3 linked regions of the Styela clava genome follow. The protein of the gene in region 3 purifies or fractionates together with the protein of the main gene of each other region. This does not show direct contact. Links are inferred from orthologs where the notes say so. Each region holds a gene or a part of one and is shown on either strand. Other genes may lie near its edges. The genes, in order: TIP41-like protein, mitogen-activated protein kinase kinase kinase 7-like and serine/threonine-protein phosphatase 6 catalytic subunit.

What was found.
Region 1: the proteins of serine/threonine-protein phosphatase 6 catalytic subunit (region 3) and TIP41-like protein purify together in Homo sapiens (co-immunoprecipitation; 4 studies listed by BioGRID and IntAct, with this or other methods). This does not show direct contact. The link is inferred for Styela clava from reciprocal best matches to the Homo sapiens genes PPP6C and TIPRL.
Region 2: the proteins of serine/threonine-protein phosphatase 6 catalytic subunit (region 3) and mitogen-activated protein kinase kinase kinase 7-like purify together in Homo sapiens (affinity purification with western blotting; 3 studies listed by BioGRID and IntAct, with this or other methods). This does not show direct contact. The link is inferred for Styela clava from reciprocal best matches to the Homo sapiens genes PPP6C and MAP3K7.

What each region holds. Positions count from the first base shown.
Region 1 is NC_135252.1:7,462,239-7,472,413, forward strand, and holds TIP41-like protein, read left to right. Parts: upstream 1-5,679; 5' UTR 5,680-5,763; coding exon 5,764-6,591; 3' UTR 6,592-7,088; downstream 7,089-10,175. Other genes in the region: AP-4 complex subunit epsilon-1-like, read left to right, coding at 7,146-9,305. UniProt on the Homo sapiens protein: May be a allosteric regulator of serine/threonine-protein phosphatase 2A (PP2A). Isoform 1 inhibits catalytic activity of the PP2A(D) core complex in vitro. The PP2A(C):TIPRL complex does not show phosphatase activity.
Region 2 is NC_135259.1:21,783,675-21,794,827, reverse strand, and holds the start of mitogen-activated protein kinase kinase kinase 7-like, read left to right. Parts: upstream 1-5,428; 5' UTR 5,429-5,618; coding exon 5,619-5,696; intron 5,697-6,243; coding exon 6,244-6,371; intron 6,372-7,000; coding exon 7,001-7,095; intron 7,096-7,973; coding exon 7,974-8,112; intron 8,113-8,260; coding exon 8,261-8,348; intron 8,349-9,017; coding exon 9,018-9,110; intron 9,111-9,382; coding exon 9,383-9,513; intron 9,514-9,876; coding exon 9,877-10,038; intron 10,039-10,549; coding exon 10,550-10,679; intron 10,680-11,153. UniProt on the Homo sapiens protein: Serine/threonine kinase which acts as an essential component of the MAP kinase signal transduction pathway. Plays an important role in the cascades of cellular responses evoked by changes in the environment.
Region 3 is NC_135259.1:10,553,407-10,564,641, reverse strand, and holds serine/threonine-protein phosphatase 6 catalytic subunit, read left to right. Parts: upstream 1-5,392; 5' UTR 5,393-5,533; intron 5,534-5,992; 5' UTR 5,993-6,000; coding exon 6,001-6,918; 3' UTR 6,919-8,029; downstream 8,030-11,235. Other genes in the region: 17S U2 SnRNP complex component HTATSF1-like, read left to right, coding at 461-2,029; RNA polymerase I-specific transcription initiation factor RRN3-like, read left to right, coding at 3,188-4,906.

The sequences.
Region 1 (10,175 bases), on a different chromosome or scaffold from region 3:
CGTTTTTCCAGTCCCGCATTCAGTATGCTATTGCTGCATGGGGTTCTACATCTCAAAAAAATTTGCACAACTTAGAAGTTTTGCAAAATAAGGCTATTAGAATTCTTTCCCGGGCACCTTTACGTTCAAACTTGAACATTCTATACCACAATCGTAGAGTGTTAAAACTACTTGATATCCATTAGCTAAAAAATGCTAAGATTATGCATCAATTCCAAAACAATCAATTACCAGCAGCTTTTGAGCATTACTTTGTGACACTTAGCTCAGTACATGACCACAACCATCGTTCCTCAACAAAGAGTAATTTATTTGTACTTCGCTTTTCACTGGGAACAAAATCTGGAATTAAATGGAATAAATAAAGGGTTAACCAGACGCGATTTTTGGGCGTAATAATTGATGATAAATTGTGTTGGAAACAGCACACAAACCTGGTTCTATCGAAAACAAGGTCGTCTCTTGGTGCTATTACGAAAATAGCCAACAATTTGAATACATCTTGTTTAATATCTCTGTACCACTCTCTGATAGAAAACCATATTCGATATTGTGCCTCAACTTATGTTCATCGCCAAACGTTCATTATCAAAAAAATTCAAAGTGTATGCAACCGTTTTATTAGAAGAGTCTTCTATAGGGGAAGTCAAGAAAAAGTTGATGACTTATTCAAAGAATATAAGCTACTACGCGTTGAGGATTTAGCTAAATTTGAACTATGCAGCATAATGTTCACTTGCTACAATGAGCAACTTCCATCCAGCCTGAACAGATTGTTCAGAGCGAACCCAAATTCAAACAGCAGAAATAAAGAAAAAAAATTATTCCATATGTTAGTAAAAGTATCTCACAATAATCCATTGCAGTATGTGGACCAAAAGCTTGGAATTCCCTACCTAATAGCATCAAAAAATCTAAATCAAGCTCAGAATTTCGTTCCAAACTTATGCAACATTTGTTATCGTCATATTAGCCAAACTCTCTGTTTTGAACATATTACTGTTTCGGAGCTTATTTTTTTAAGGTGAATTGAAAAATGAGGAGACGATTATAGACCATTTGGATTGAAACCACCATCGTGGAACTTCGAAGGCTACCAAACCACAACCCATCAGAGTGCGATTTCAACTCCAAAGGCCACCTCAGCAGGATACAATATGAAACAATGGACTGAATTAATATTTAGATCACCGTTCTAATTCTATTGTCATGCGGAATGAGACAAAGAACAGCAAATTAGGTCTCGGACAGCATATTACATTACATTTACATCAAATTTAAATACAGCCATCAATAGAGTGAATGCTTTTTGTTAAAGTACCATGCTGGGACTTCCTTTCCTCTTATAGGTCATTGCACAAAATGAAATATGTTTTCCCCTTCCCTCACCCCAGGAAACTATACTATTCTATTGTGATTTTAATTCAACTTGGGCACTCCATGACAGAGAAATAATGATTCTTTTTTTAAAGCATCAGCCTTAATTAAATTGTACTTTTATACATTGCTCTTCTTCTGGCAAAAGTGCAATCATGTTGGGTTTTGTTGAAATGCTTTTCATCAAGTTTATTTTTTTTCTGTAATTCTCACCACGTTCGGCTTTAACCTTTAAATAGAACAATAATACATAGGAATTTGATAGCAACACTAAAGCATTTCACCAAATCTGCATGGCTCCCATTTTTTCCGAAATATCTATACTCTATCAAAGACTATATTTATCACTCTTTAGTGGCGCGACCGTATAGGCACTGCACATGTACCTCCTATATTTCGCCCATTCATATTACCGGTATGTGGTCCCACCACTCAAGGGTGCTGTATCTACGCCTAAATTTTTATTTTATCATTATGTATATATGTATTTGGTATATTGTGTTGTCCCTATTTATACATATTGTCTTATAAACTCCCTCGTATAAACAGTTCTGTGTACTCCTCCATTACCACTTTCGGCACACCAACCCATTGCCCCACCTTACACAATTGTCTATATAAGGGACCATATCATATGCATTTAATCTAACATATTTTGTTCTGTACTTGTCAAAAGGGGTGCATGTCGCACATTTGTGTTTTAGGCCAGTACGCTCTTGTCGCTTGTGCATGCGTCCGGTCACCAATATTAATATTGTCAATTTTTTGTATTGCTTACTACTACGAGACTAATAAACATACATACATACACACACACACACACACACACACACACACACACACACACATACACACACAGACCTCTTGAACTTGTCAAGTCACAAAATAAACTACTGACTGCTGATTGACCATTGTCACGAAAAAAACAAGAAAATTGGGGCTTTAGCACCCATTGATTAGTTCCATTACAATGACCATCACAAATATGTCAACAATGACGTAACGATTGAAAGTTGTACAGACGCCCAGACAGATGTTCAAGTATGATTGTAAACGTTGCCTCGTTTTAGTGGGTTTGTATGCTTTAGTTTAGTTGCAAAATTCAAAAATTAGTCCCAAATAAACTACGATCGATCAGGAAAAAATTAGCTATCACCTACCGGTAGGTGGCATGTAGTTGAGTGTTTTTTCAATAAAAATGATGTTTCGAACATGCGGTTTATAAGCGCTAACTCTCCAAAACCATTATTGTATTCAGTACAACCAGTTTAATGTCATTGGTACAACTACAACAAGAGAGCTATTCTCAAATATATGGACACGTAGCGCCACCTAATGACAATAATTTTGATAACGTCATAGCAAAAAAAAAAAAGTAAAAGCCTTCTGAAGAAATTTTTATCTTTAACCACTGAAAATTTCAAAGCAATTGGTCCGGGAATCAAAGAAAAAAGCGATTTCTTCAAAACGTGTCAAAGAACAACATAACAACAACAAAACGATCGTTATGTCCACTAAACGTGTCAAATGGACCGTTCCCCGACCTTTGACCCTCGGAAAATTCTCCCTATACTTTACCATTGCAAAATTGTCAAGGCTATTTCAAGAGTGCTTTTGCGAGTTGGCGTCATTATGATTCATCGCATACAACAATCTGTTTTTTAAAAGTACCGGTAAAGAATTTCAGGCTAGTCTATCACAGCCTAATTTTATTTACTGCAATTAAATTAAAACTCCTAGAAAGACAGAGTGATCATTGAATTATCTGATTTTTATTTAAGTTCCCAAAACACAACTGAAAACTAACGAATAGAGTTCAAAAACGCAAAAACGAGGTAATGTTTACAATCACGCTTGAAAATCTGTCTGAGTGAGAAAAGTGTCTGAGCGGATGCGAAAAGGGGGCATTGTTACGTCACTTTTTGCATCTTGCTGATTGGCCAATGTCACGAAGTAAACAAGGAAGTCCATGCTCGGGGAAAGGTCCATTATGCCAAAAATCTAATCCAATCAGAAACACTCTCAATAAAGCATCTTGGGTCAAGGGTCGGGGAAATATCCATCGATCAAATTCAGTCACTTTGGATCAAATCATATGCTTAGTCTACATCAAGCGCGAGCTTCTTCCCGCTGGGTAAATTTTGTAGGACGAGAATTTTCAGAACGGTACCGGTAATGTTTATCCCGCGCCCAATGTGCGTACGGTATTCTCCATTACAAGGTGCCCCTTTTTAAACCGGTTCTTTTTGTCCGTTTTAGCAACTGCATTTTTAGGATGATACACGCTTTTTTGAGTTTGGTCTATTTTGTATACAGGTACCGGTACCGTATCGTAAATGTAGGCCTATATGGTGAGTGAAGCAGGTCTAGCCCACCTCTTCATGCATCCAACTTGGCAATTCTGATTTGGCATTAGGTGACCCCAACTATAATCAGCTTGACAATATCCCTTGAGAAATATTTTTCCATCCACAGTATATAACTCTTGTTGACTAATTCTGTATCCGATTCGGCCATCCTCATACAATTGTTAATTTGGTGTGGCAAAATAATTTAGCCTATTTATTTATTTATTTTGTATATTTTTCTTTTTACTAAGTAACTTAATTGATTTTGTTTTCTCGCTTCTTTCACGCCCGACCCTATCAATATCATGTCTCAGTCTCAATGATTGTGTGTATGTGTGTGCGTGCGTGCCTTAATTTTATCAATACCTTCCCACCTAAAATCTGTATGCTTTAAACCGTAGGCTACTTGAGGTTTCGTTTGCTCTCCCGATTCTATAACCAGTTTTATTTAAAGTGGGAGTGGTGACTCCCCTATGGGCCGGGGCCGTGGCCCATCGAATTGGACCTCGATCCATCAGGCTATGGGTCGTGGCCCATCAAGTTGTGTAAAGGGACTATTCACTTGGCTAACACAGACAGTCCCCGAACTCATAATAGAACTATAATGTGGAAAATCTGAACAAAATATTGTCCTAACCCTAACCTGGTACACATACTACAGAAGTATCCTTTTCTGTTGCTTGGTATTTTGCTTTATTTTTCTATAAAAGCTTATCGTAAGAAAAAAACTTGGTGGCATACCGCGATTTTTTTCGGTTCGAATATTGACAATTTTGTGAAAATTGAAAATTTTGGTAAGATAATTGAATTCTTCCTGATGAGGCCGTGGCCAGTTAAGCTATGGGCCGTAGATGTGGCCAAATTAGATGGGTCGTGGCCCCATCCCATGAGTCGAAATAAACTTATCCTTATTATGATTCTGAGTGACTCAAGAGTCTCAGGATAAAATTAATGAATTCACAGAAAAAAATACCCTAACATAATACTTACTAAATTATACGGTAATTACTGTATCCAAATTCTTAAAAAACTTATTCCCATAATATTGATTATAGTAAATACAATAATTTTTGTTGGTTATGGGTTTGTTAGCATTCGAGGACAACTTTGATTAGACTACCGGATTGGAGGTGGTAATAACTGAATATTATTGTTGCAATAATGAACAAATTTGATAAGTTTCTTTTTCCTAGTTGCAAGTAAAATTCAACAATTCAACCGTAAATAAAAATGGTTTGAATCCCATGCAGGGATGGTTATGTGCGAGAGGATTGCTGGACTCCTCGCCGCTGTAGGGTGGTTCACGTAACCACTGGTCGGTTACGGCTTCCTCCCTTATCAAGTCCATGCTTCTGTGCTTCTTCTGAAAACAAATAACGAACTAATCCCATCCCATACCGGGCATGGAATGGTAACCGGACAAGAAGCCTTGGTTCGCCATGTGGTTAAGCCACCTTATCGGCTTTCCTCTCCCCCGGGATGATTATGTATATCATTTTTTTATCTTATACACATTTATCAGTACTTGTTGTATTAACAGTTATATACCGGTAATATCTTATATCAGAGTAGTCGCTAGAATAATAGACTTGAGAAATACTGTACCATTACCAAATATATCGACATTATCGTATGCAGGTGCATTCTCGATATTCGCTGTGATAATATTATTGTTTGTAAATTATAATATCATTTTGTTGAAATTGTTTGGAAATTTTTAAAATAGCCTCCATCTTGGGCCAATATCAATATCTTGAGGAAATGATTTTAGTCAAAACTTGTACAATGATAACATTGGAATTGTCCAATATACAGATATAACATTTACATTGGGATTATTTTTTAGGAGTTTGTTCAAATATACGGTAATCAGTAAATAGCTAGTTTCAATAAAGTTCAGATAAGACAAGTTTTAGTTGAGTTTGGCTGAGAGCATAGTATGTGTTGTTCATATTTTCACATATCCTGTTTTACAGATTCTTCTGATTTGTTATAAGTGTGAATGAGGTGCTATTCAATATCAATATTTGTATGATAAATGGCAGCAAGGGCAGGAACTCCGATAGGCCGAAATTTTCAAGAGTTTCATTTTGGACCTTGGACAGTGTCTGCTAAAAAGGGTCCTATATTGAAAAGTGATGATGCTGAAACTTTATCTAGAGAGCTTGAGCTTCCTCAAATTCCTGAGATGACATTTGGTCAAAACGCTATCAAAATCAGCCACACAAACAAATTCAGCATTGAATTTAATGCAATTGATGCACTACGACTTGTTGATAACAAAAGAGATTTGATGAAAGTGGCAGCAGCAAAAGAGTGGATCGAAAGTCGCAAAGATTGTGAATATATTCACCAAACTGTAAAGCCTTTTGATTGGACATATTCAACTAAATACAAGGGCACAATTATCGGGGAACCTGAGCATGTAAAAGTAGAAGAGACAGAGGAAAAAATAAACCTTGAAAAATTGAAAGTCCGGGAAAAAATAGCGTTTTTTGAACAGGCTATTCTATTTGAAGATGAACTTGCAGATCATGGCTGTGCAGAACTAAGTGTTAAAATGAGAGTAATGCCATCATGTTTCTTTGTTTTAATGCGCTTCTTTCTTCGTGTTGATGGTGTACTGGCACGAACACATGACACAAGATTATATCACGAAGGAGGCACAAACTATCTTATTAGGGAGTATTCCGAAAAAGAATGCATGCTAGATGGAAGCAATATTCCAGCAAGTGCGCTTACAGATTCTCATGCCATTGATAAGTATCTTTCTAAAAAGACAGAAATTTTACATAAATTGGTTTTCGATGCAAATGTTACAAATATTTCACAAACTTCTTCCCCATTGTCTACTACAAGTACTTGAAACTCTAAAAAAAACACTAAAAATTTTTGTGTGATATATTTGTGCTGTGTTCGCTTTTAATGGGGTTTTAAATAAGCAGGTCTGAAATTTGAATCATGTCAATATTATGCTGAAACCTAATCCATTTATATTATTCTTGTTACAGATTAGTTGTTGATGTCTAGTTTTTATTTGTTTATCGGCAGTTTTGATAATTTTATTAATTCAAATAATGTTGAATATTTTGGTGATATAGTCCATGGTGCTTTTCAGTATGTTTCAAAATACCATTGACCAGTATAAGACACATTAATTTGGTGTTTAAAAAAATATCGTTATTTTCATTGGATACCATTTTTAATGGCGATCGAATCATATATATAATTTGAATAGACGTGATTATTTTCGTTGAGAGGTGGTAATTTGGTTAAAGTTTAATTCAAAATATGTTTGTAATTCTGTCATATACCGGTATATATATATGTAATTTTGTATTTTTCACATTCTGATTTTTTAGATATTAGTGTTATTTTATAACTATTGTTTATCTCACCACATTCAGTATTTGGTTCAAAATGATGTCATCTATGTTAGAAAAAACCTGGGAACAAACTGTTTCATATCTACGTGGAAGTTCTTCAATTCAATTAAATACTGGAATTAATTTGAAACATCTGCAGCATGCTACTATTGCCTCAAGTAGGAGCATGCACATGCAATCTTACAGGAATACCATAAATGAATGCATCGGTAATATGAGAAGCAAATGTCAAGACATGTATTTAACATTATCTGAGAAACGAGAATGTTTATTAATTGTTATTCAGCTTGGAAATATAAATGAAAAACTGAATTTTGTTCATCCATTCGTTATAAAATGTATTGCGGATTCAAAAAATGTTTTTGATAAAGTACTTGGATACACCGCTCTTGGAATATTAAATCAATCATGTCGATCAAGCGTTTACCTTGCTGTGAATACAATACTCAAAGATATATCCAATAAAAATAGTGCTGTTTCCTGTATATCCCTCACTGCCCTTGCATCTTTTATAGATATAGATCTCATTCCTGTGTTTTTGTCTCCTGTAGAGAAAATTTTGAAGTCTGGTCCTTCACATGTGAGATATAAAGCATTGGTTGTGCTACATGCAATGGTCAGAATTGGTCCGGAATATGTCATCTCAGCATGGAGCATAATGAAACATTGTTTGTGTGATAAAGATCCACAAATAATGAGTGGTTGTTTACCAATTATTGAAACACTGTTAAAAACTAGCAAACCTCCACAAGATGCAAATATTCATGGAAAAATCGTCTTTATTTTGAAACAAGTAGAACAAGGAAGATTGCCAATTAATATGATGCATAAAGGAATATGTGGACCATGGATTCAAATAAGATTGATTCATATTGTTCGTATTTTATCCAAGGAAAATTACAATGAACAACATCTTTCAGATCTGGAGGAGATATTTTCGAAGATATTTGCTAGATTTCAAACTGCAGGCTATTTACAACTGGCTATCATTGAAGAATGTGTTCGCACAATTGCAGCATTACATCCAAAAGTACAAAAATTAGAAAATGTTATGCTGGCTGCCATTGAGACTGCTCTATCCAGTACAGACTTGAATATTTTACTAACTGGTATTGAAGCATTAAAAATTATTGTGAAAATAAAACCAGGTTATTCAAAGCAATACACTAACTTATTGTTGAAAAATTTATCATGCGGTAATAAGTCTCTCCTTGAAGCAACGATGCATTTACTTGAAGATTTAGCAACGGCTGAAGATTGCCAACATATTGTCAGTGTTCTTATGGAAAATGTTCAAAAAGTGAATAATGACAAATTGAGAGAATCTATATTGACTGGTGTTTTAAAACTTATTGAGAAATTTCCTATGGATGAAAAATGGATATTAGAGCATTATCTATATCTCTTGGCCTTCAGTGATGATAGTGATATTTCTTTCGCCATCAATAAAAGAGTTGTAATGTGTTTTTCATGTTTATCTGTGGAAACGATGCAGAACGAAGTTGTGAGATTAAGTAAATCACTTCAAGAACGCTATACAATATCACAGTATTGTACAATTTTGGATATTTTAACGTTTTATCATGAAAAAATATCGATTGAGGATGCCAAAAGAACTATTAATGATATTATGTCAAACTGTCAAAAGAATCGCTGGAAACCTGAATCTTACAGTAATATTTTCATACGGTCACTGAATTGTTTATCTGCTTTATCAGTGCACCATAACTTGAAATTCGATATTAAGGAAGAATTTCCAATCTGTCCTTCTATGCTACAACAACATTATATTGAGACTTATCTTCTGATGCAAAATTCACCATTAACAAAATCAATTTTATCAATTAAATTATCTGCACTCAAAGAACCAAATTTTGATCCAAATTTGTCATTTTTAAATGACTATTCAGAAAAACACGAAGATTCAGTATCATCCTCCAGTGAGGATGAATCTTTTAAGAATCAACTCTCATCATCTAATAATAAAGTTTCGATTTCGATTCGAAAAAAGGAATCTGAATTTTTGGTGAAGCCGTATTCTAAATCAAGATTTGATTCCTCGGTTTTAACAATTGATGAAGATAAAATAAAAAAGAATTTCTTAAAGAATGAGGCAAAAGCATCTTCAAGTAAAACTGGTAATGTATGGGATAAAAGTAGATATAAACTAGATGCTGATGGCACTGAGGAATAATGAATTACTATGTGATGATAGCACAGTCTGAGCATCATAATTAAAATTGTGATTTGGAGTCCTAGAGTTATCTTGTACTTTTGTGTCACACTCATTATTTTATTCAAGTTATAATATCACCACACTTATGACAATACAGTAGAACCTCCACTAGCGAAAGACCCTGAATACGAAATTTCCAAGTTACGGAATGTCTTTTCGTAGAAATATTGCTTTGAATAACCATTTGTTAACAATTGTCAACCATTTGTCTCCCACTCACCGCGGTCTTGGCCTTGTCTAGCTGGCCAACCCCAAAGGTAAACAAACCTATAATTTTTATTCGTTATTTCTCTGTTCTTTCTTCTTTCCATGTGTACTTCTCCATTTATTATGTACTAATCTAAATATAACATATATTTGTTAGAGATTTTAGCCATTATTTATAATTTAAACTAATTTAATTTAAGTTTTATGGGGGCATAGAAGAGATAAGGGCATTTATAGGGTAAAATATGTCCAACTTACAAAATTTCTTGCTTACGAAACGGCTCCCGGAACGAATTAAATTTGTAAGTAGAGTTTCTACTGTATTGTTAAGTTTGGACGTGGATTACTGGAACACATATTGACAAACAATTGTCCATGCGTCTATATTGCATCCTTCATAAAAAAAAGTATGTCAAAAAGTCAGTTATTCATACACATATTTTTTTTATTTCGTTTGGTTGAATTTTTTTCAATATTTGTAGGCAATTCTTGTTTGTTGTTTCATGTCAATATTCTATCTATTTATGATTCCTAAAAAGCTTCAAATTTTTATTTTGTAATGAATAGCTTTTGCACAAATTAATCTTGATGTTAGATATCTTGTACTTAGAATAAAATCTT
Region 2 (11,153 bases), about 11 Mb from region 3:
TGTTTTCATGGGATGTTCTCGATCTGTATTCTGCGATATAGGTGGAATTTAATATTTAAGTCTTCAGAAATGTAGAATTTATATTGTTGAATGAATTTCCCAATTTTATTGCATTGACAAAAATATTCATCCGGCCCGTTTCAACATAGTTTGAGTCATACCCGGCCCGCGGTCAAAAAAGTTTGGTGACCCCTGGCCTAAGGTATTACATCTGTCCTAAATCTAGAACATACCGTGTATGTTTACTATAACCATTTGCTTAACTTCTTATATCTATCCCAACCTAGAACATATCATAAATTCCACTTCATATGCTTACTCTAACCATTTGCTTAACGTTTTATATCTATCCTAACCCAGAACATACCATGAATCCCACTTCATATGCTTACTCCAACCATTTGCTTAACGTTTTTATAGCTATCCTAACCCAGAACATACCATGAATCCCACTTCATATGCTTACTCTAACCATTTGCTTAACGTTTTATATCTATCCTAACCCAGAACATACCATGAATCCCACTTCATATGCTTACTCTAACCATTTGCCTAAAGTTTTATATCCATCCAACTCAGAATTAATCTAACCATTTGGTTCAAGTTTTATATCTATCCCAACCTATAACATACCATGAATCCCACTTCATATGCTTACTCTAACTATTTGCATGAAGTTCTATATCTATACCAACCCATAACATACCATGAATCCCACTTCATATGCTTACTCTAACCATTTGCATGAAGTTCTATATCTATACCAACCCATAACATACCATGAATCCCACTTCATATGCTTACTCTAACCATTTGCCTAAAGTTTTATATCTATCCTAACCCAGAACATACCATGAATCCCACTTCATATGCTTACACTAACCATTTGCCCAAAGTTTTATATCTATCCTAACCCAGAACATACCATGAATCCCACTTCATATGCTTACTCTAACCCTTTGCCTAATGTTTCATATCTACTCCAATTCAGAACATAACACGAATACTACTTTGTATGCTTATCCATGAGCCCAGAACATTCATGCATCTTCTCCGATATGCCATTTCTAACAATTTACTAAAAGTTCTGAACTGCAACAGATTTACGTTATATGCTTATTTACGTTGTACATGAAAATGGTCGAATTAAATAATAACTAAAATAGCAACCAAAAACAGACAAATTAGAAAACATATTTTTTCTCCACGAAATATATAAGCTTTCGCTAATTGATAGTTCCACAATATGATATGACCTAATCAAACAGCGCTAACTAAAGCTAACAAATATACCGGTACTTTGAAAAATAACAAGTTTATCCTATTTATTTAGGATTTACATATTTATCCTGGGTAAGAGGCTTGATAGGACGACTTGACCATACGGCGAACCGAGGCCTCTCGTCCTGTTACCATTCCATGTCGGGTATGGGATTAGTTAGTTAATTGTTTTCGGAAGCATGGACTTGATGGTAGAGGAAGCCATAACCGACCAGCGGTTACGTTAACCACCCTATGGCGGCGAGGAGTCCAGCAATCCTCTTTCACATAACCATCCCTGCATGGGATTCGAACCCACGCAGAGTAATCAGAGGTGTGGTGGCGAGCGTATTCCTAACGCTTAGCACGATGAGCCACACCGCCACGCCAATATATATTTATCTCTTCAATACAGTACTAGCCTGCTTGCCGGTACACAAGCACAGCTGTACTTCTCCCTTAAGAATAGAGATGTACATATTCAACCCGCATGAAAGCTTCCGAAAACAAAACAATATAACTAATCCCATACCCGACTCGGAATGGTAACCGGACGATAGGCCGTGGTTCGCCATATGGATAAGCCGTCTTATCAGCTTTCCTCTCACCCGGGATAAATATGTAAATCCTATCCTATCCAAAGTCAATAAATATATGCCGAACCACTGTCTCTTGTCTGGTTACCGCATAGTAGAGCTCGACCGATATATAGGGCCGATATTGCGTGTTTGCCGATATATCATATCAGCCGATATATATCGGCTAGCGCCGGGCTGCGTGCCACAACGGCTCTCGCCCCTGTGTAACTGGTTTCTCAATATTCCTCTCGCTTTCATTTTGCGTTATGAAGGTGTCTCTCCTAATTCCCGGTGTCTTATGATTAGCCATTTCATGCATGGTCATAACTGAAAAGTTGTAACAATGACGTTTCATAAAGTGACGTTTTTGAGAGAGTACACAATGAGAGAAAGGCAAACTTAGTAACAGCATTAAACGGTGGTTCTATAAATAGAATCGATTGGAAGCTGGTGAGTTAGTGATCATAGAAACATGGCACAGGTATCTCAAAGCAATAATGTCAGTTCCGAATTTGTGACATTCCCAAATTCAATTTTGAATTTCTGGGGTAGCAGTTTTGTTTATATTGATGGTTGTTTATCATTTTGCTGAAAATTACAAAATAAAAACCTAATTCATTATTATTGACTAAATAAGGTATTGAGAGTCTCTGGAAACAAAGTTATTAAAAATTCCACATGTAACTGAACATATGCTATCACAATATTGAAGAAATTTATCATTATCACGATTCACTTTGAAATATATCAATTTATAATTTTTTAATACCCTTATTAACATGTGTCCACAGTTATATTTAAAAACGTCAGATTAACCCTTTCCGTGCGGTGGGCACGTATACGTACCAACGACAAAGGTCGCTAGATTGCGGTGGGTACATTGATGTACTCCACTGTTTTAGTTAGCAATCGGTCGCAAACTGTTGGTCTAGTTTTTCCAGGTTTTAGTTTATTGATAAGAAGTCTTCTTCGAGATTAACATAAGCGACGGTAAATCTCGCTTTCGTTTACGACGGGAATTTTATTTGCGGCGGAACGAGAGAGTGTTTCTGAAATTTATGCAAATTTCGGTGTTTTTTGGGTGGTAATAGAAGACATATTATCCCTTCCATCTACCAAAGTATTTTGAGCGAATATTTCTATTTTTTATTGTGGTTTGAAGTTTCAACTCCTACGAAAAAAAAATGCCTTTTTTCTATCCGGTTTGTGACTCAGACCACCAATTTTAGAAAAACTTTTTTTTATAATTGCCAATTGAAAGCTCTTTAAATAAGCTTTCCAACGAGCCGTCAGTGGGCAGCAGAGGATCATTAGTTTTTCGTTAGTCGATCGATTAGTTGTGGGGGTACAAATGCATAAAATCGGCGTAGCAAATACGATTATTTAATAAAAAATAAAAATTGCACGGAAAGGGTTAACAATTCTTTTTCCTGGAAATAGCTAGACTGATATTGAAGTAGCAGGACAAGTTACAGAATAACATTTGTTCGAGCATTAACTGGAATTATTTAAATAAAAGTCTCAATGCAATGATAATAAAAATCAAAATACAGACTCACGAGGTGCTTCATAAAAGCGAGGCTCAAAATATGATTTATATTAATATCGGCATAGCGATATTGATTATACGCTACCGGTTGGCCGATATATTGATATCGGCGACAAGAAGTAATATTGGTCGAGCTTTATCACATAGGATCAGTATAATCATGACACGACCCATTGGATAGTTCAAACTGGTACGTCAGATGCTGCCACAACCAAACTAAAACCAAATTGATATTTTTTAGATAAAAAAAAATAGCTCATAGAATTTGTTGAGATTGCGATTACGTGGTCCAGTCCATAAACCTTGTCCCCCCCATAGTATGACCGGTCACTTGTTTTAAGGTGCAAGGTGCATGAACTTGATGGTGGAGGATGCAGTAACATATGCTGGTATCCTATCTAAGTGCCCAATAGATAAATCCCAAGTTAACAGCAGACTACAGAACTTCGGAACTCGCATGAAAACTATATCAAATACTGAGAAATCACTCACGCGATGTAGTCTACGATGCAAAACGTTCTTGAAGTAAATCTCTTATACCGAGTTTATGTCGCTAATATCCAGCTGATTAACACCCCATTTTTTGCATTGCAAAGACTTTATATGAACAATAATTTTTCATATACCAGTTTACCGATTCTCGTTTCACCAATTCTTCTGACCACCCACAGCCAGAAATTGTAAAGAAATGGCGCGCTTCACAGACGCTTCGGCCGCCAAAAATGTCAATTATGACATCATATCCAACTACCGAAGCGTGTAATATGAGATTTCAAACTGCGGTACCTCGAATAAAATACCGGATGGGGCCGCCAAAAGCACGATATTAATCTATTTGCTATATGTAAATGAAATATTGAGATCAAGCAAATTATAAAATGATTTAATAAGGATTCTACTCGGCCTTTTTGTGCGGTTAGCTTTGGGGCCGTAACTTGCAGTCGCTTGTAATACCCTCATCACGTTAATATCGAAGGAATCTTCTGAAATAGGATGGTTTCGATTTTTGTTTCAATTTACCGTAGAAAAACAGCGTTTAACAGCCTTAATTAATATAGGTTAATTTATTTCTAAGGTAGTGACGGTGCATATCAGCGAGAGTCAACATTCTACACTAGCAATCGTCAAACTAACGCGGCGGTGTGGCTCAACGGGCTAAGCGTTAGGAATACGCTCGCCACTGCACCTCTAATTACTTTGCGTGGGTTCGCAGGTTCGAATCCCATGCAGGGATAGTTATGTGCGAGAGGATTGCTTGACTCCTCGCCGTCGTTGGGTGGTTCACGTAACCGCTGGTCGTTCCTCCACCACCAAGTCCTAATAACCATTAACAATAACTAACTAATCTAATACCCGACTTGGAATGGTAACTGGACCGAATGGAGAGGCCGTGGTTCGCCATATGGATAAGCCGTCTTATCGACTCTCCTCTCCCCAGGGATAAATATGTGAATTCTATCCTATCCTCATAATCATATCAAAATCTGAAACATGAAAAAGTTCACGTAACCGCTGGTCGTTCCTCCACCACCAAGTCCTAATAACCATTAACAATAACTAACTAATCTAATACCCGACTTGGAATGGTAACTGGACCGAATGGAGAGGCCGTGGTTCGCCATATGGATAAGCCGTCTTATCGACTCTCCTCTCCCCAGGGATAAATATGTGAATTCTATCCTATCCTCATAATCATATCAAAATCTGAAACATGAAAAATTTCGTGCAATGTTTTTGAAGAAGTTAATTTAGAACTGATGTAGTAGGCAACATCGGAAATAAAAAATAAGTATGTGTGCCAGGTTGGTTGGAGTAACCGGACGAGAGGCCGTGGTTTGCAATATGGTTAAGCCGTCTTATCGGCATTTCTCTTCCCAGGGTTTAATATGTAAATTTTATCCTATCAGCTTGATTCATTCTCAATTTTCATGTTATCGCTACATTTTCCATTTCATACGCTTGGGATCAGAAGATAATCGTTGATCACCAAATGCGACTCCTTTCACATCTTAAGTAAAATATTTGTCTTGAATATGTTGGAGAAATTGTGTGGTTGTGTTGAGTTTTATCCTATTTCTTTGCTGATGTTCAGTCACCGTACATGGGAGCGTAGGTAAAAAGTACTTAGTAAAAAAGAGAAATAAACATTCGAACCAGCTTAGGTGGCGGGTCGTCCAGGTTTTCTCTTGTATGTGGCACTGGTTGCAGCGAGGTCGAACAGCTGAGCAGCGATGGCTCATGTCGTATATGCGGAATCTCCGCCTGGATTTATTGAGGAAATAAAATATGAAGAAATGAAATTGGGGAATGTGAGTATCCCGGTTTGCTAAGTTGGTAAAACTTTATTTCTGTGATTGAGAAATTCTAAATCATTTTTAATGTGAAAATAAAAGTATTATTCACAGTGGGGCACAGTTCCCTGATTCCAAGATGTCCCGAACTTTGCTTCAATAAAACAAAACTCTATTGGTCCCTGAAACGAAGATGTCTGGCACGACAACACATGTGTCAGATTGTGTTGAGCTTGTCTTGGTAATAATTTGTGACCAAAATTGCTTTTACTTGCTAAAAACTTTCGAATGCTTCGGTAAAAGATTTTTTCCTCAGATAGATTATTAGATTAGATTATTATATTTTCAAGGAATCCAATGGTGATGTTTTTAAATTGCACTTTCTTTTAGTTTAGTTTATTGTGTTTTGATTCGATATGGAGGCCCAGCCTGTCTCGTAAGGGAAGAGTTTGCACTCACTGTTGTAATTGATGTCTTTCATGTGCGGGCTATTCTTTTAATCAGAGAACTGTACATTATGGTGTCCATCCGCATCTTCATATTCCGTTTCATCTTTACTTTTCAGACGATTGGCAAAGGAGCTTTCGGCGTAGTTTATGAAGCTGTTTATCGCCAACATCCTGTCGCTGTGAAGAAGATTGAATCTGAGAACGAACGTCGAGCCTTCATTACAGAATTGAGGCAGCTCTCAAGGTTTGATTTGGCATGTTATTCCAGCACTTTATATAACTTACATTGTTTCTTATATTATATTTATATGTTATTGTGTAAATTAGCTTTATTGCACAACTCGTTTTGATCGCAAATTGATCTTCAAAATTTCAAAAAAGATTTTGAAACCCCTGACTCAGACTCATGAAATATAAATCTTTAATGATGCCATGTTTATATCAAAAATCTGAAGTGCCCGAAAAGTCATAACTAATATGATTAATAGGTCCTGTGATTTTATTAACCAATTACCAAGTTTAGTGCTGTAGATATGAAAAAAACAGTATGAAACAAAATAAACACAATGCACATTAATATCCTCACATACAAGCCGACCCATTAAAAACGATCTCAAAATGGTGAATTTATAAAAATTCTCATATATACCGGCCCTACCAATCGTAACATTCCGTACGCTTAGCGCGAATAGAGTTATGCGCGTACAAGCCAGGTTTTTAGTGCGATCAAAGTTATGCGGCTTTAAGGTGACCCCTTAGTTTGTTTGGCAACTTTCTTTTCGTATCAAACTCTGCTTATATGTGAGGATATGAGTAGGTTTGTTTCATTGCGATTCTGACTATTCCCAGCCCTAATCGAACTATTATTTCCAGAGTTTCACATCCTAATATCATTCGTCTGTATGGTGCCTGCAGTAACCCTGTGTCTCTTGTTATGGAACTGGCAGAGTGTGGATCTCTGTATGACTGTAAGTAAAGTAGATATAAATTGGAAATTCAAGTATTTGGAATTAACTGTATTCGATGGGATTTATATTTTATAGACTTGAAAAAAAAATTAAATTTTTCATTTAAAAGTTTGCCATGGTAATAATTGAAATATGCCAGATAGACAAGCCAGGGTTGTACAACTATTTTTCTGAGTGGGCCAATTATTGACAATAGACTTGGTTACCGGGCCCGAGGCACAAGATTTAATATGAAAACCTATGAATTGAAATAAGTTTTTCACAACAGCTTGGCTAACGTTTATGTGATGTAAGAATCAAGGCCAATATAACGTTATTTTCATCAGAAATTCATAATCATAAAAACTATAGTCGTTGAAAGTTGAAAAGTAATAATATAATGTTTATATTAGCATTTTAGCTTGTTACCTATCGATTTTAATCGGTAAGTATGTTGATAGGTATTTGTCTGTCTGTTTTTCTGTCTGTCTGTAAGATACACGCGATATCTCACGAAAGCGAGATTGAATCTGCTCCAGATTTTGCATGTGCATTCATCATATGTTGTACCAGAAGCCTATTGATTTTGGATGAATTATGTTGTATAATTAGCGAGTTATTAATTAATTAGTGATGGGACACAAGGTGTCACTATGGAGTAGGAGCGCTGTTTTGGGGGATCCCCTAACTTTCGATCGATAAGTCTTCGGTCTCTGACCGATATTCTCGTTTAACTGTTGGTTTGAATCTATGGGCTTCCACAGACACAATTGATCTTTTTTACATGCCCATAGATCAATCAAATACCTGTTACTGTAGAATAAAAAAAATAAAATTTTTCATTGCAAAAAGTATGTTTGGCACCTCTATATAAACTAGCATAATTCTATACTTTTCAGTGCTGCATGGGGCAGGGCCTCTCCCCCACTACACCGGGGGCCATGGGATGAGTTGGTGTTTACAATGTGCAAAAGGTGTCGCTTATCTTCATAATATGAAACCAAAAGCTCTGATACATAGAGACCTGAAACCCCCAAAGTAAGATATTTTTTTTTTCTAATTATTTCTCCGAGTGATGACGATGAATGAGGTGCTGTAATGTTCGAGAATCACTGATTTAGGCCGCATACTCCAACTTGAGAAAATCCTTTCAAACAGCTTTGAATCCTATTATTTTACTGTTCAGTTTACTTCTGACGAACCAAGGACTCGTTCTGAAGATCTGTGACTTTGGCACTGCCTGTGACATTCACACACAGATGACTAATAACAAGGTAGGGATTCATGTATTTTCATTATGAGATGGGTTTTGTGTTTATCCCCATTGTGAGGGAAATATGAGAGGAAGCCTAGTCATAGTAATCTGTGCGCAACTGGTAATAAGCAAGCGATGTTGTCAGCTTTCCAGTTTCACATCGCAGCCAAACCAATAACAATTTACCATAAAATCTTAAAACTTGCTCAGAGCTGAGTCACTTTTACTTTGGAGTGAGCGAGTGTATCTTTGTCTAGAGATGATTCTCATTTACTTCTGACACATAACTTAGTGCACGTAACTTTGCTCAGAGAGGATTCTCATTTACTTCTGAGTAAGTGCCCATAACTTTGCTCAGAGATGAGTCTTCTTTGCTTCTGAGTGAGTGAGTGCCTATAACTTTGCTCAGAGATGAGTCTTCTTTGCTTCTGAGTGAGTGAGTGCACGTAACTTTGCTCATAGATGATTCTCATTTACTTCTGAGTGAGTGCTCATAACTTTGCTCAGAGATGAGTCTTCTTTGCTTCTGAGTGAGTGAGTGCCCATAACTTTGCTCATAGATGATTCTCAATACTTCTGAGTGTGTGCTCATAACTTTGCTCAGAAATGCGTCTTTTTAATTTCTGAGTGAGTGCCCTTAATTTCATTCATAAAAAAATTAAAAGTATCAAACCATTCTTTTGCACAGGGTTCAGCGGCATGGATGGCTCCTGAAGTATTTGAAGGATGTCAATACAGTGAGAGATGTGATGTCTTCAGCTGGGGAATCATACTCTGGGAGGTAGAATTTGGATTTTGCTCTTTTTTTTGTGCCACAGTTTGAATAAGTATAGGGAGAGTTTAAAAGTCGTTTTCTAAGCTTCAATTCAAACAATGCAATGTACATTCAGCAACTGGGAATGAGAATTTATTAGTTTTATAAGGACCAAGATCTGACTAGTTCTGCTGTGCCAACGTGTAAAATCGGGTGCTCTAACTACTCGGATATTGTGCCCATGGTTATGATATATTCTTTCTCTTTAAGTTTTTTCTAATATACAACATTGTTGACAGGTCTTAACTCGAAGAAAACCATTTGATGAGTTGGGAGGTCCAGCATTTCGCATCATGTGGGCAGTTCATACCGGTACGAGGCCGCCATTAATACAGGGATGCCCAAAACCTATTGAGGAACTAATGACAAGGTGGGTGCGAGTTTGCTATAAATTTTCACAAAACTTCAAGCATTAAGTTTACTATGTGGTCCTGACAACAGTCTATCAATAAAGGTTTGGATATTTCAATGTGTTTGTCACCAAAGTTTGATTTTCTCCGAGTCAAGTTCAAGAGAAGATATTTTTTCTCAAGTCTTGGTTGATGGTAAATTATCTTTGACACCACAGCCCTGCTCTAGTAAACCATAGAAAACATTTTATGTAGAATCCATTTTTCAGGATTTTTAGGTACAGAAATCAAAATATCTGGCTACAAGATGTTTTCCATACTATTCAGCTTTAGTTGAGTCTTTTTTAAATTCAATGAAAACCTAATATTATTTCTTGTTCCAGATGTTGGTCAAAAAATCCGAGTTCCCGTCCAAGTATGAATGATGTTGTATATGCAATGACAGAATTGATGCCGTATTTCCGTGGTTCTGATGTTCCCCTTGTATTTCCACAATACTCTGACAGTGATGAAGAGTCTGATTATTATGAAACCGGCAGTGACAGGTGAACACTGAATATTTCTATATATAATTTGATCTCATATTTATCTCAGGGGACAAAAAAAGATGGTGAATAGCTTGGGTGAAATTTGTTGGGTGCCACTGCGCTATGCCGACTAGCCCACAAATATTAGCATTTTTATTTAAATGTGCTCAGCGCCATGTGACAAACCGTCTATTCTACATTCCATGTTTCTTGTACTGCTAGATATGGACCTGTGTCACAAGGATGTTTGATAAGATATAGAAAAATAACTGAATACCTATTCCCATACCCGACATTGGTAACCGGACAAGAGGCCGTGGTTCGCCATATGATTACGCTGTCTTATCTTCCCTCTTTCCAAGGATAATTATGTAAATCCTATTTTACTAACACTAAGCAGTCCAATAAAGGTTCGATACAACATTTATTATGTGGAATCCTGCAATTTTGTCGACTACATCTTGTTCAAGTATCCTGTTAGGCAGGTAATTTTGCTCTGCTTTATTTAATTTATGTCCTTATTATTCAGAGGGTATGGAACAACATACAGTACAATCAGCGACACCCTGAGGAAGACACACATTACAAATCCTAATATGACCAATCATGATAGACCACCAATGGTGACATCACAATCTGTGCCTAATATACAAAGACAGGTGAGATGAATGAATTTTTATTTTGGATATAAAAAGCTGATATAACTTAATCGTATTGCCACAGCAAAACCTAAGGAGCTTATGTCACATTTTCAGAAATTGGCTTTTTTGATCTTCTGTCATGATGGACCAAGGACCGACCATCTTTTGGTCCAAGTTTCAAAGCTATACCTGTTTTAGTTTTTATTTTAGGCAGCGCTTTGTGTCCATTTTCGTGTTTGACTTTACAGTTCTGAAAATTACAAAAGATTTCCTCGAAACTTTAAAATGTGACATAAGCAAATTTAGTTCTACTTCTGCGATATGAAGATACATTTAAAAACAGGGTGTTAAAAAAGTAACGCAAAATTAACAGAAGTTAAGATGAAATGCTTCTTAAAACATTTAACCTGTAACCTTTTAACAGTATTGAATTACAGTGAAATGCCATTTAAACATTTCATGTCTGACACTTTTCAACAGTTAGTTTTTTAA
Region 3 (11,235 bases):
AATATAATTTAAAAATAAAAAAAATAGTTACCGGTATATTTCATTTCCCATAGTTATAGCATTAAACTTTCAGCCTGAAAACAAAATATGTTGATAAGATATAATTTTAAGAATAAAGAAAATTTCCCATAGGTAAATTAAAAGCATAAACCCGGATCATTTATTTGTTCTTAGGACTTAGGAGCAGAATGAATTGGAAGTGACATCCTCGGTTATAAAACAATATATTGAAGCTTTTTGTCATATTTTTTTATATCGAGTATGTGATGGATAAATGATTCAATAGATTTTTTAAAATTGAAATATTGTCTATAATTCTGCGGATCACATCCGTTTTGGTCAGTATTTATGCTGGCCCCTTTACAGATAATGTTTCAATATATATAACCTACAAATGCTTCTTTATCATATATTTAGATTACCCTGAATTACATAACTTGTACAATCAATCAACGCAGTCATGGCAATGAATCCTGAAACATACGAGGAATTTCAGAGACAGATAGAACTTCAGAAAGAAGAAAATACTCTGGAAGAAGGCGGGGGTGCAAAGGTCAAAGTTGATGAAGATGGAACGGAGTATGAGTGGGACGAAAAGAAAAAGGCTTGGTTTCCTAAATTAAGTGTCGAATTGATGATGAAATATCAAGAGAATTATGACGCTGGAACAGAAGTAGATTCATCACATAAATTCACTTCTTACACAGATCCTGTAACCAAAGTAACTTTTCATTTCAACTCTGAAACTTCAAAATGGGAACCAGAACATAATGAAAATGGAGAGCCTTGCAAATATACAGATCCAAATGGGGTTATTTATGTATGGAACAGTGACCAAGGCAAATGGGATTTAGAACTTTCAAAAGAACTAAATGGCGATTCAACTAACAAAGACAGTAATAATGAGTCTACTAGTACAAACGAGTCGCAAAATGATAGTAAGACTGAACATACATATACAGATTCGAACACGGGAATACTTTATAAATGGGATTATGAAAAACAACTTTGGGTTTCAGAGGATGGTCAGGTTATGTATCCTTCTGGGCATGGAAATTTTACTACGACATCATACACTGATCCTAAGACTGGAGTGATTTACAATTGGGATGAAAATAAACAAGAATGGGTGGCAGAGAAAAAAGTTAAAAATAAAAAAGAAAATACAAAGAAAGACACCAAAAGGAAAGCGTCTGATCCTACCTGGTTTAAAGTTACGGAAGATAAAAACACAAATGTTTATGTTAGTGGCTTACCACCAGATGTAAGTTTAGAAGAGTTTGGTTCTATCATGTCAAAGTGTGGAATCATAATGCCAAATCCTCATACCGGTAAACCCAAACTGAAGTTGTATAAAGACAAGGAGGGTAATTTAAAAGGTGATGGCTTATGTTGTTATTTAAAAAAAGAATCGTTAGATTTGGCAATGCAATTATTAGATGATACTTTAGTGCGTGGGGGATACAGAATTCATGTACAAAAAGCAAGTTTTGAACTCAAGGGATCTTATGATCCATCAAAAAAACCAAAAATGCTGAGCAAAAAGGAAAAAGCACGACTTCACAAAGAACAAGAAAGGCTACTTGACTGGAAACTAGCAAGAAAAGACGCTGTAAAAAAAAGTGAAAGAGTACTAATATTTAAAAATATGTTCGATCCTAAAGAATTTGAAGAAGATGCTGTACTTATTACAGAAATAAGAGACGATCTTCGCAAAGAGTGCGAAAAATTTGGGGATGTGAAAAAGGTTCTTGTATTTGATCGCCATCCTCAAGGAGTCTGTTCCGTTTCATTTAAAGATTTTGATGAAGCTACAAAATGTAGGGATGCAATGAATGAAAGATGGTTTGCAAAAAGAAAAATTTCTGTTGATCCGTGGGATGGTGTTACGGACTATCAAATCGAAGAGACTGATAAAGAAAGAGAAGTTCGAATAAAAAACTGGGAGAAATTTCTTGTTGAGGATAATAAAAAGGAAAATATGGAGGAAGGAGAAAATTCCGAAGTGAAAAGTGAAGCTGAATCATGAGGTTGTATAATGTTCTTCGTTGAATGAAAATGTAACTTCACTTCGTCACATAAGGGTATGGAAGATAGCTGATATATGCTGCTTGAAATATTGTGTCGTAGTTCGATCTGCTGACTCAAATTGTTAAAGCAGCTGTTGTGACTGATCAGTGAACTATCAATCTGGTTCATTTCAAAACATACCATAATCATATTTCAAAAGTTTGAAGGCCATTGTTATCTTTATCAAAATGCAAAGACATTCAAGATATCAATGTGACATCTATTTCGTGCAAAATCACATCAATATCCATGTTGCAAAGTCTATTCTATGAATTCTTTATTGCCAAGTAATTTAACATATTGAGTTATTTCTTTGTGGAGAAATTGTACAAATTAATCACAACTAGTAGATTAACATTTCTCATTATTCATTTCTCACAATCCTTCAAGTCATTCGGTAATGTAATGTTTCATACAGATTTTCTTGTTTTTGTTTTTGAACTTTGTCACCTGGGTTGACTGTTCTTAATGAAATGGCTCTGCCTTTATTATCACCAGTGATACGGTTACCTCTTGAGTAAATCTGTTGCAATTCTTTGAAAATACAATTGTCTACATACAAAGTTTTTAGGCTATTCATTATTGTTTGCTTAGAGCAAACAGCCATATTATGGCTTTATTGCTAGAGCACTATAGTATGATGTATATTATAGATTCAAACAAACAACTTTGGCACAATAATTGAAAAATAATATATTGTTTTGATATTTAATGAAATATACATTATGAAATTTGATTTTTGAATACTATTACCAGAAATCTATACTGCTTAAAATTCAGAAATGTTACTATTAGATTTAATTTTTAGGTTGCGATTTTGTTGTGTATTTCTTTAAGTTCCATTTTCAGATACAAATTACGACTGCAATGTTATGCTTGCTGAGTGGATGATGTGACCATGGATTTCAAATAACTTTGCTCTGTATTTATGTGGATAATATCACCGCATTTTTGATAATGATTACCGAATATGTGAAGTTGTCCCTTAAAACGTAAACAGTCCAGAATATTATAAATTGAATTTCAATTATCCATGTACTTCTTATATAATTTCTTAATATTTTTTTCCAGATTATACTTCATATTTGATATATTGTACAATCTAAGTTTTTGAATAATGACTGATATGAAGAGCTCCGGTAAAAAGTCTGTGCGATTCGGTGGACATCTAGCTGATGTTATAGAAGAAAATAAATGTGGAATTCCTGAGAATTACATGCTGATTGTACAACAAATAGAAGACCCATTAATCAAATCAAGTCATCTCAGTGAAATGTTGAAACAATTTATTGACATTGTTAATATCCTTGATCAGGATCAAAAGAAATTAGTTCATCGAATGCTGAGCATAAGATGGGTCAATCGAGAAAAAGAAGTAATCGAATTATTTCAGAAATTTCTACTTGAACTTGTTGCTGCCAATTCTGTCCACCAACTCCAAGTTTTGAACTGTCTTATTACTCATTTTATTCCTGCATCTTGCTTGTCTAATCTCACATCGTGTGAGACTTGTGTACCCCAGGAAGAAATATTTCATATTATCCATGGCACATTAAAGAAAATTTTTACCCTTATACCATTGACAACTAACATAGTTTTGCCACTTTTAGTTTCACATTATCCCTTTATAAAAAAGGACAAAGAAGCATTGGATTGGTACATCAAGAATTTGCTTTTTCTGACTACATACCGGGTTAACTTGCGACCGCAAATCTTGGAACTTATCATAAGTAAATCCTTAAAACTAGATACACACTGTCCAAGAGAATCTATAAAGAAATCAATGACTACTGAAGAACATGATCTATTTGAAATGGAAACTGATAATTCAATGAAAAAAGAGGGTTTTGTTGACAAATTGGATATTGTGATGGAAACTCTACTTCAGTTCATACATGATATTTGTTATTCAAATGGGGAGTTATCACTCCAAGCAGACACTCTATTAAAAGAATTAGTCTCCATTTTTGACAAAGTGATTCTTCCAATTCATGATAGCAGTCATATTCAATTCCTAATTTTTTATATCTGCAGTTTTGAAAAATCATTTTCTGAGACTTTTCTCAACCATTTATGGAGAAAGGTTCAAGATCCAAGTGCACCTATGATATTACGACAGACGTCATTGTCATATATAGCTAGCTTTCTTGCAAGGGCAAAATATCTACATTTGAATTCTGTACTGACAATACTAAATGCGATGACTGTATGGATACATTGCTATATCAAAGAGAGAGAAGGTTTATACGACTATATCGGACCTCTACATGAAACTGTACGCCACGGAGCATTTTATAGTGCGTGCCAAGCTGTATTTTATATTATTATATTCAGGCATAAACAGATATTAGACCTTCCAAAAGGATTTGAAATAATGCGCAAATTCAATTTAGAACATATTATTATGAGCCGTCTGAATCCATTGAAATTTTGCATAAGCACTGTGGTTGGTATGTTTTCTTCACTAATGAGACAACATCAACTTGTCTATTGTGACACAATAATAGAAAGAAACAACAGAATGACTTTACCTGTGTGTGGTCAATCAAAAAACTCTGCTTCGGTTAACCCACTTGATTGCTTTTTTCCTTTTGATCCATATTTGCTTAAGAGTTCAAGTCATATGATTGAAGAAATATACCAAGAGTGGGAAGGCCGCGTACCAGAGCTCAAAGATGAATCGAGAGATGAAGATCATCATATTGATAATGAGCTGATGAGTGCAAGCCCTATTTCTATTCCAAGTATATTCTCTCAAGATAAACATTTTATTGACTCAATCAGTGGAAAGTCAATGTCTCCTGGATTTTCATTATTGAACAAGTCATCGTTCTAAGGGAGCTAAAAGACACATTTAGTCAACTCCTATCCTTTTACTTTGATGGAATTTTGTTTTATACAAGTCAGAACTACGAAACAAGTATTCCTGTACATGCATCCAAAGAAAATCTTATTTCTACAAAATTTATAATACTTATATTTTTTGAAGTGAGAAAAAAGCAGTCTTTCAACCCAATCTTTGAAATAAGGTTGGGATTTGATTCTAAGTACAATTTTAATAACGGAACTGGTACCATTAGTTGTATTGTCAAAATATTTGTTCAGACCAGAAATAACACGTCAAAATTTCTGATTTTTTAAATACAAAATCATAAGTAGATTTATTCGTGATAATTTTTTGTGTTGATACATTCATTGTTTCTTTTCTGCTGCCAATGTTGATGATCATTATGTGCCTGTTATGAACTAACTATCTTTTTGTTTTCTTATTTCTCTCCTATTGCTCTCATTAGGTTCTTTTTGTTTTCTGATACAGTTTGAGATTTCAATCACATAATTACTAATGTTTGTTGCATTTTTTCCTGCCAAATCATTGTACAACTTTTTTTTTTGCAGACACTATAAAAATTGAATTAATTTTAGTATTTCTAGCTTTTTCTAGAAGCTTTTTATAACAGACCAGGTAAGTTTCTCGTTCAATTATATTAAATACTGATAACTTTGATATGATCAGGATAAATACTTCTTATTTGAAATGCTGTGGAGATGGAGTCAAGGGAACTCCAAGGCTTCTGAAAAGTCTTTGATTGATTTTTAACAAGAACTTTGACTCTGCCAGCGAACCGAAAAACTGAGGAAAGTTTTGTCTCCTATTACTTTTATTAAAAGTCTGAGATCTTGACTCTCCAAATTTATAATTTTGCTCAAAATTGCTGTGAGTTTAAAATGGCCATACTGACTCCACCGCCTCGATTATTTATATGGCATATACAGCATTTCAAAATTGATGTTTACGACTGTATCTATATCACAGATACTATACATAACTTGATAACGTGTCTTCTGTGAATTTATACTATCATTCATATTTCGTCTGCCAATTGCATTTAGATAAAGACACTACAGTTTATTATGTTTTTAGGTTTTATCATGGGACCCTTGGACCTGGATCGTATGATTGAAATTGAAAAGAATTGTAAATATCTTCCAGAAAATGATTTGAAAAAATTATGTGATTATGTCTGTGACCTTCTACTTGAAGAATCCAATGTTCAACCTGTCTCTTCACCTGTGACTGTTTGTGGGGATATTCATGGACAGTTTTATGATTTATTAGAACTGTTCCGGACTGGCGGAGAGGTGCCAGAAACCAACTACATTTTTATGGGTGATTTTGTCGATCGTGGATACTTCAGTTTGGAAACATTCACATATCTATTAACCCTGAAAGCAAAATGGCCAGACAAGATTACTCTTCTCCGTGGAAATCATGAAAGCAGACAGATCACGCAAGTTTATGGTTTCTATGATGAATGCCAAATGAAATATGGAAATGCTAATGCTTGGCGTTACTGCACCAAAGTTTTTGACCTTCTCACAGTTGCAGCTATTATTGATTCATGTATTTTGTGCGTACATGGTGGTTTATCTCCAGATGTGAAAACCATGGATCAGATTCGCACCATCGATAGGCAGCAAGAGATTCCTCACAAAGGAGCGTTCTGTGATCTTGTATGGTCTGACCCTGAAGATGTGGAAACATGGGCAATAAGTCCAAGAGGTGCCGGCTGGCTTTTTGGATCTAAAGTGACCAACGAATTCGTTCATCTCAACAACCTGAAATTGATTTGTCGTGCTCATCAACTTGTACATGAAGGGTACAAGTATATGTTCGATGAGAAATTGGTCACTGTCTGGTCTGCACCTAACTACTGTTATAGATGTGGAAATATAGCTTCCATTTTGCTTGTTCGTACGCCTGATGACAGAGAAGCCAAACTCTTCAGGGCTGTTCCAGATAATATGCGTGTGATACCTCCCAGGAACACTGCACCTTACTTTTTATAATGTGATTTCGTCTGTCACATCTCAGTATGAATATTATTGGTTGACATTCCATATCAACCTAGCAGAGTGCACTTCAGTTTACTCTGGCGTTTTTATGATGATAGACAATACCCAAAGGATAATATATAGATCCAAGGATGTACTTTGTAATGCACTTGAAGACCCCAAAGTGATAAATTTTGGAACCGCTTGAACATGTATATATGAGTATATTACTTATACAACTCGTTATATATGTTTCAAGTGGATGGCTAGCAAACCAGCTGCCCTTTATCTATTGGCAGCATGAATATGATTGTATAAGTCAAAGTTACAGTGTGTTTTCCTTTGATAACTCTGGATTTTTTATAAAAAGTTCATCATCATATACATTGAAATTATTATCTTTTTCACATAAGAAATATTGTTATGTTATTAGGTTCTCTTTCATCTTGCTCATTAATTCGCTGAACACTCCACAATGTCCATGCTTGAAAGAAAATTTATGACATTGTTTTTCTGTCTTTGATCAAAATATCAAAGCTACGGTAATTCCCGAAATTGATAATTGAAAGTGGAACTTCACAGACGCGAGTGCAAAGTTTTTATTATGATTGTTTTCATTTATTCAGCGAGAGTTGGTCAGTTTCAATGCAGTTCGCCAATTTCTGTCTGATGTTTTGACAGAAAAAAAAATTCCTCAAAGCTTTATTTCCATGCTTCGCTAAATTATCGAATATACATTACCAGTAACTTCTCAGTCCTGGTATTATTTGTTATAACAACTGAATATTGATTTAGTATTGTTTTTAATCATACTTTGCTTATTTATCTTCAAGCTTATCATCAGAGTTATGATTTTCCTATGAATCTTGACTGATTAAACAACTTTTGTAATTGTTAAGTATGGTAATATTATTGAATTAAAAGTCCTAAGATTTCTCACAATATATTTACAAACTTTGTCAACATTAAAGCTTTTCTGTTCATTGCTCTCATATGAGATGCTCAATACATCCATTGACGGGTATTCTACGTGAAAGCCGTTGGGACACAGGTAGCAATCATTCTTAGAGAAAGTTAGAATGTTGATCACAAGCGAGCTATAATTGGAATAAATTGTCAATCGCAATGTCTTGGTTTTTACTATGTTATAATTTATCGATTCTATATGGGCTGGAGAGTTGCGACCAGGATAGGATTTACATAATTATCCCGGGAGAGAGGAAAACCAATAAGACGGCTTAACCATAGTCCATACGGCGAACCACGGCCTCTCGTCCGGTTACCAGTACCATTCCGTGTCGGGTATACGGTTAGTTAGTTATTTCTTTTCGGAAGCATGGACTTTATTGTAGAGGAAGCCGTAACCGAGCAGCGGTGACGTAAACCAGCCTACGGCGGCGAGGAGTCCAGCAATCCTTTCGCACATAATCATCCGGGCATGGAATTCCCACGCAGAGTAAGAACGATGAGTCATACCGCCGCGCCGGTCAGACCAAATCAAATGCCTCATAAAGTTCTACGACTTTACGTCGAGAAAAAGTCCTGCTGAACCCACAATAGTACGGTACCAATATATACGGAATCCGTCAAAGCAAATCGTTTTTTAAAAGCACAATAAAATGAAAGCAAGCACGCATTTTCTTGGAGTCGTTCATATTTACAGAAAAAATTAAATATTTTAAATTCCTTGTCACGAAGCAAGATATGCAATTACTTGCGATAAAAGAATTTATAAATAGAATTTGTTGACTTGACGTTGGTTCAGATATTAATTAACAGAAGATATTTTCATAGGATAGGATTTACATATTTATCCCGGGGGAAGAAATCCAATGGGACTGCTCAATCAGATAGCGAACCCCGGCTTCTTGTCCTGTTACCAGTCCATGTCGAGTATAGGATCAATCGTTTTATTTCCGTTCTCAGATATAAAGCAAAACGACACAAGTAACAGTAAACAGACAAGGTTACCAGTCCATGTCGGGTATGGAATTGGTCATTTTATTTCCGTTCTCAGACATAATTCAAAACGACACAAGAAGTAAACAGGTAAAACAGAATGATGACATAAATGGGAGGCGAGTATAACTTAGGATAAGGTTACCAGCCCACCCTCAAAAAAGAGAGCTATGCTCAAATATATAGACAGGAAAAAGTAATAGCCTCCTAGCGAAAAATACAATCTTTAACCACTGTAAATTTTAAAAAGTAATTGGCCCAGTAGTTAAAGAGAAAGGCGATTTTTTCATAACGTTAAGAAGAAAATACCATGAGAAACAACAACAACGTAATAACAAACGATTCATAGGTCCATTCCGTATCCAATACAAAACAGTGAACGCGATTTAAAATCGGGCAATACTTTTGAAGCAATTTTAAATGAGAAAACAAGTAACAATCAAACCGTAAACCGTAACCCACCAGCGGTTACGTGAACCACCCTACGCGAGAATTCCAGCAATCCTCTCGCACATCATTATCCCCGACGGGATTCGAACCCACGCAGGGTAATCAAAAGTGCGATGGTGAGCATATTCCTCACGCTTAGCACTATGCACCACGCCACCGAAGATGCGGACGTTTGTATTTCTCCGGAGGACCATCTGTGATTTCATGAACCAAAAGTAAATTTATCCAACAAAGAATTTACCGCTTCGCTCGAAGTTTATGGTCAGGAGCCTAGGTAACTTGTAAAGGTCTTGCATACTGACCAACACAATTCAAAGTTTAAATATTCACTGCGCTGTATTTCTATAAAAATCTGTACTATCGTCCTTTTTGGACACGTGAGTGGACCTATGGATGTTGTTGTTCTTGTTGATTTTCTTCTTTTTCTTCATGATAAAATCGCTTTTCTCTTCGAATACTGGACCAATTGCTTTGAAATTTTCACTGGTTAAAGAATGATTTTGATTGATTGAAAGATTGATTTTGAAATTTTCAGTGGTTAAAATATTTGATTGTCAGAAGGCTATTACTTTTATTCATTCCTAACTTTTCTAAGAATCTTATGAGATCTAATATTTCATCCAAAATTGCGCTGTATTACTTTTTAATTATGAGAACACGGTTTTTAACAAGTCAAGCGTGACGGCTGACTGTGAAAATTCTTGTGACTGGAAACTCGGAAGTTTTTTGAGGGTACGGTAACGGTAACGTCAAAGGTAGGGACTGCTTCGCTCTTGTCCGCGTGTCCATATATTTGAGCGTTGCTCTCTTGTTTAATTAATATTGTTTTGTTAAAATGAAATGTTTCTATCTCTCATCTTTTCGGTGACTGGAGATGGGGTGTGGCGCCTGTTCAGGCCGGCGCCCGGGCCCGGCAGATGATGTAACGTTAAATATCAAAAACAGTGTTATTCGACTCACTCTACTGCAAGGCGATAAAGTTTTGAATCTGTTTCGTGATATTAGCTTCCTTCTCCACATCTGTATAACGTAGTAGTATATATTTAAGGTATAACTCATGCGAAAAACAATACCGGTACCGTACAGTAGCTTTGAAACGTGCACCCGTTTGGTGGCGTACCGATTTCGGAGAGCGCATTAATATTTGTCCTTGCAAGACATTGCTTGTTTGTTTTTTTAAATGTGCCAACTCTGCTGCAAATTTATTTTTCACACAGGAGTTAGACAGTATTTCAATATCAATAATCATGGCATGTGGTAAACATGCAGTTTGGCAATTTAGAAATTCTGTGAAATATGACAAAATACTTGACATGCAATTTGTTCTGAGAACAATGATAAAATGTAAGATAATTGGAGTTTTAGGGGTAACAAAAATTCCCTTGAGAGATGAAATATTATGTGGGGGAATGATAGAATACGAATATGGTATCTGCTCGATAAATCGATAATGCTTTGAGAAATTTAGAGTGGATTATATCTAAAATTACATAGACATGAATATTGAGAACTCCTAACGCAGTAACGGCATGATAGGTGTTTTTCACATTATTTGTCTAATCCTTTAAAATTAAAAAAAAAAAAAAAAAACTCTGCTGCAAATTACTGGTACAACATTGAAAATGTAAGGTGAGGGCGATTTTTAAATGCAAATTAATTGGGATGATTAGAATAATGAGGAAAGAAATGAACTGCTTCATGATTACCGTAATTTTTATGTTGTACGGTATCACCCACTTTTCCCATTTCATCAGGTTCAATATAAATGTAGCCTACCGGTAGTCTAGCCCAGTGCTCTTCAACCGGGTATACGGTATACCCAAGTGTATATCGGCTTTCCTCTCCCCCGGGATAAATATGTAAATCTTATACCGGACCGTAAGTTGGGTATACGACTGATAAAGGGTGTACAGCCTAAGTCCA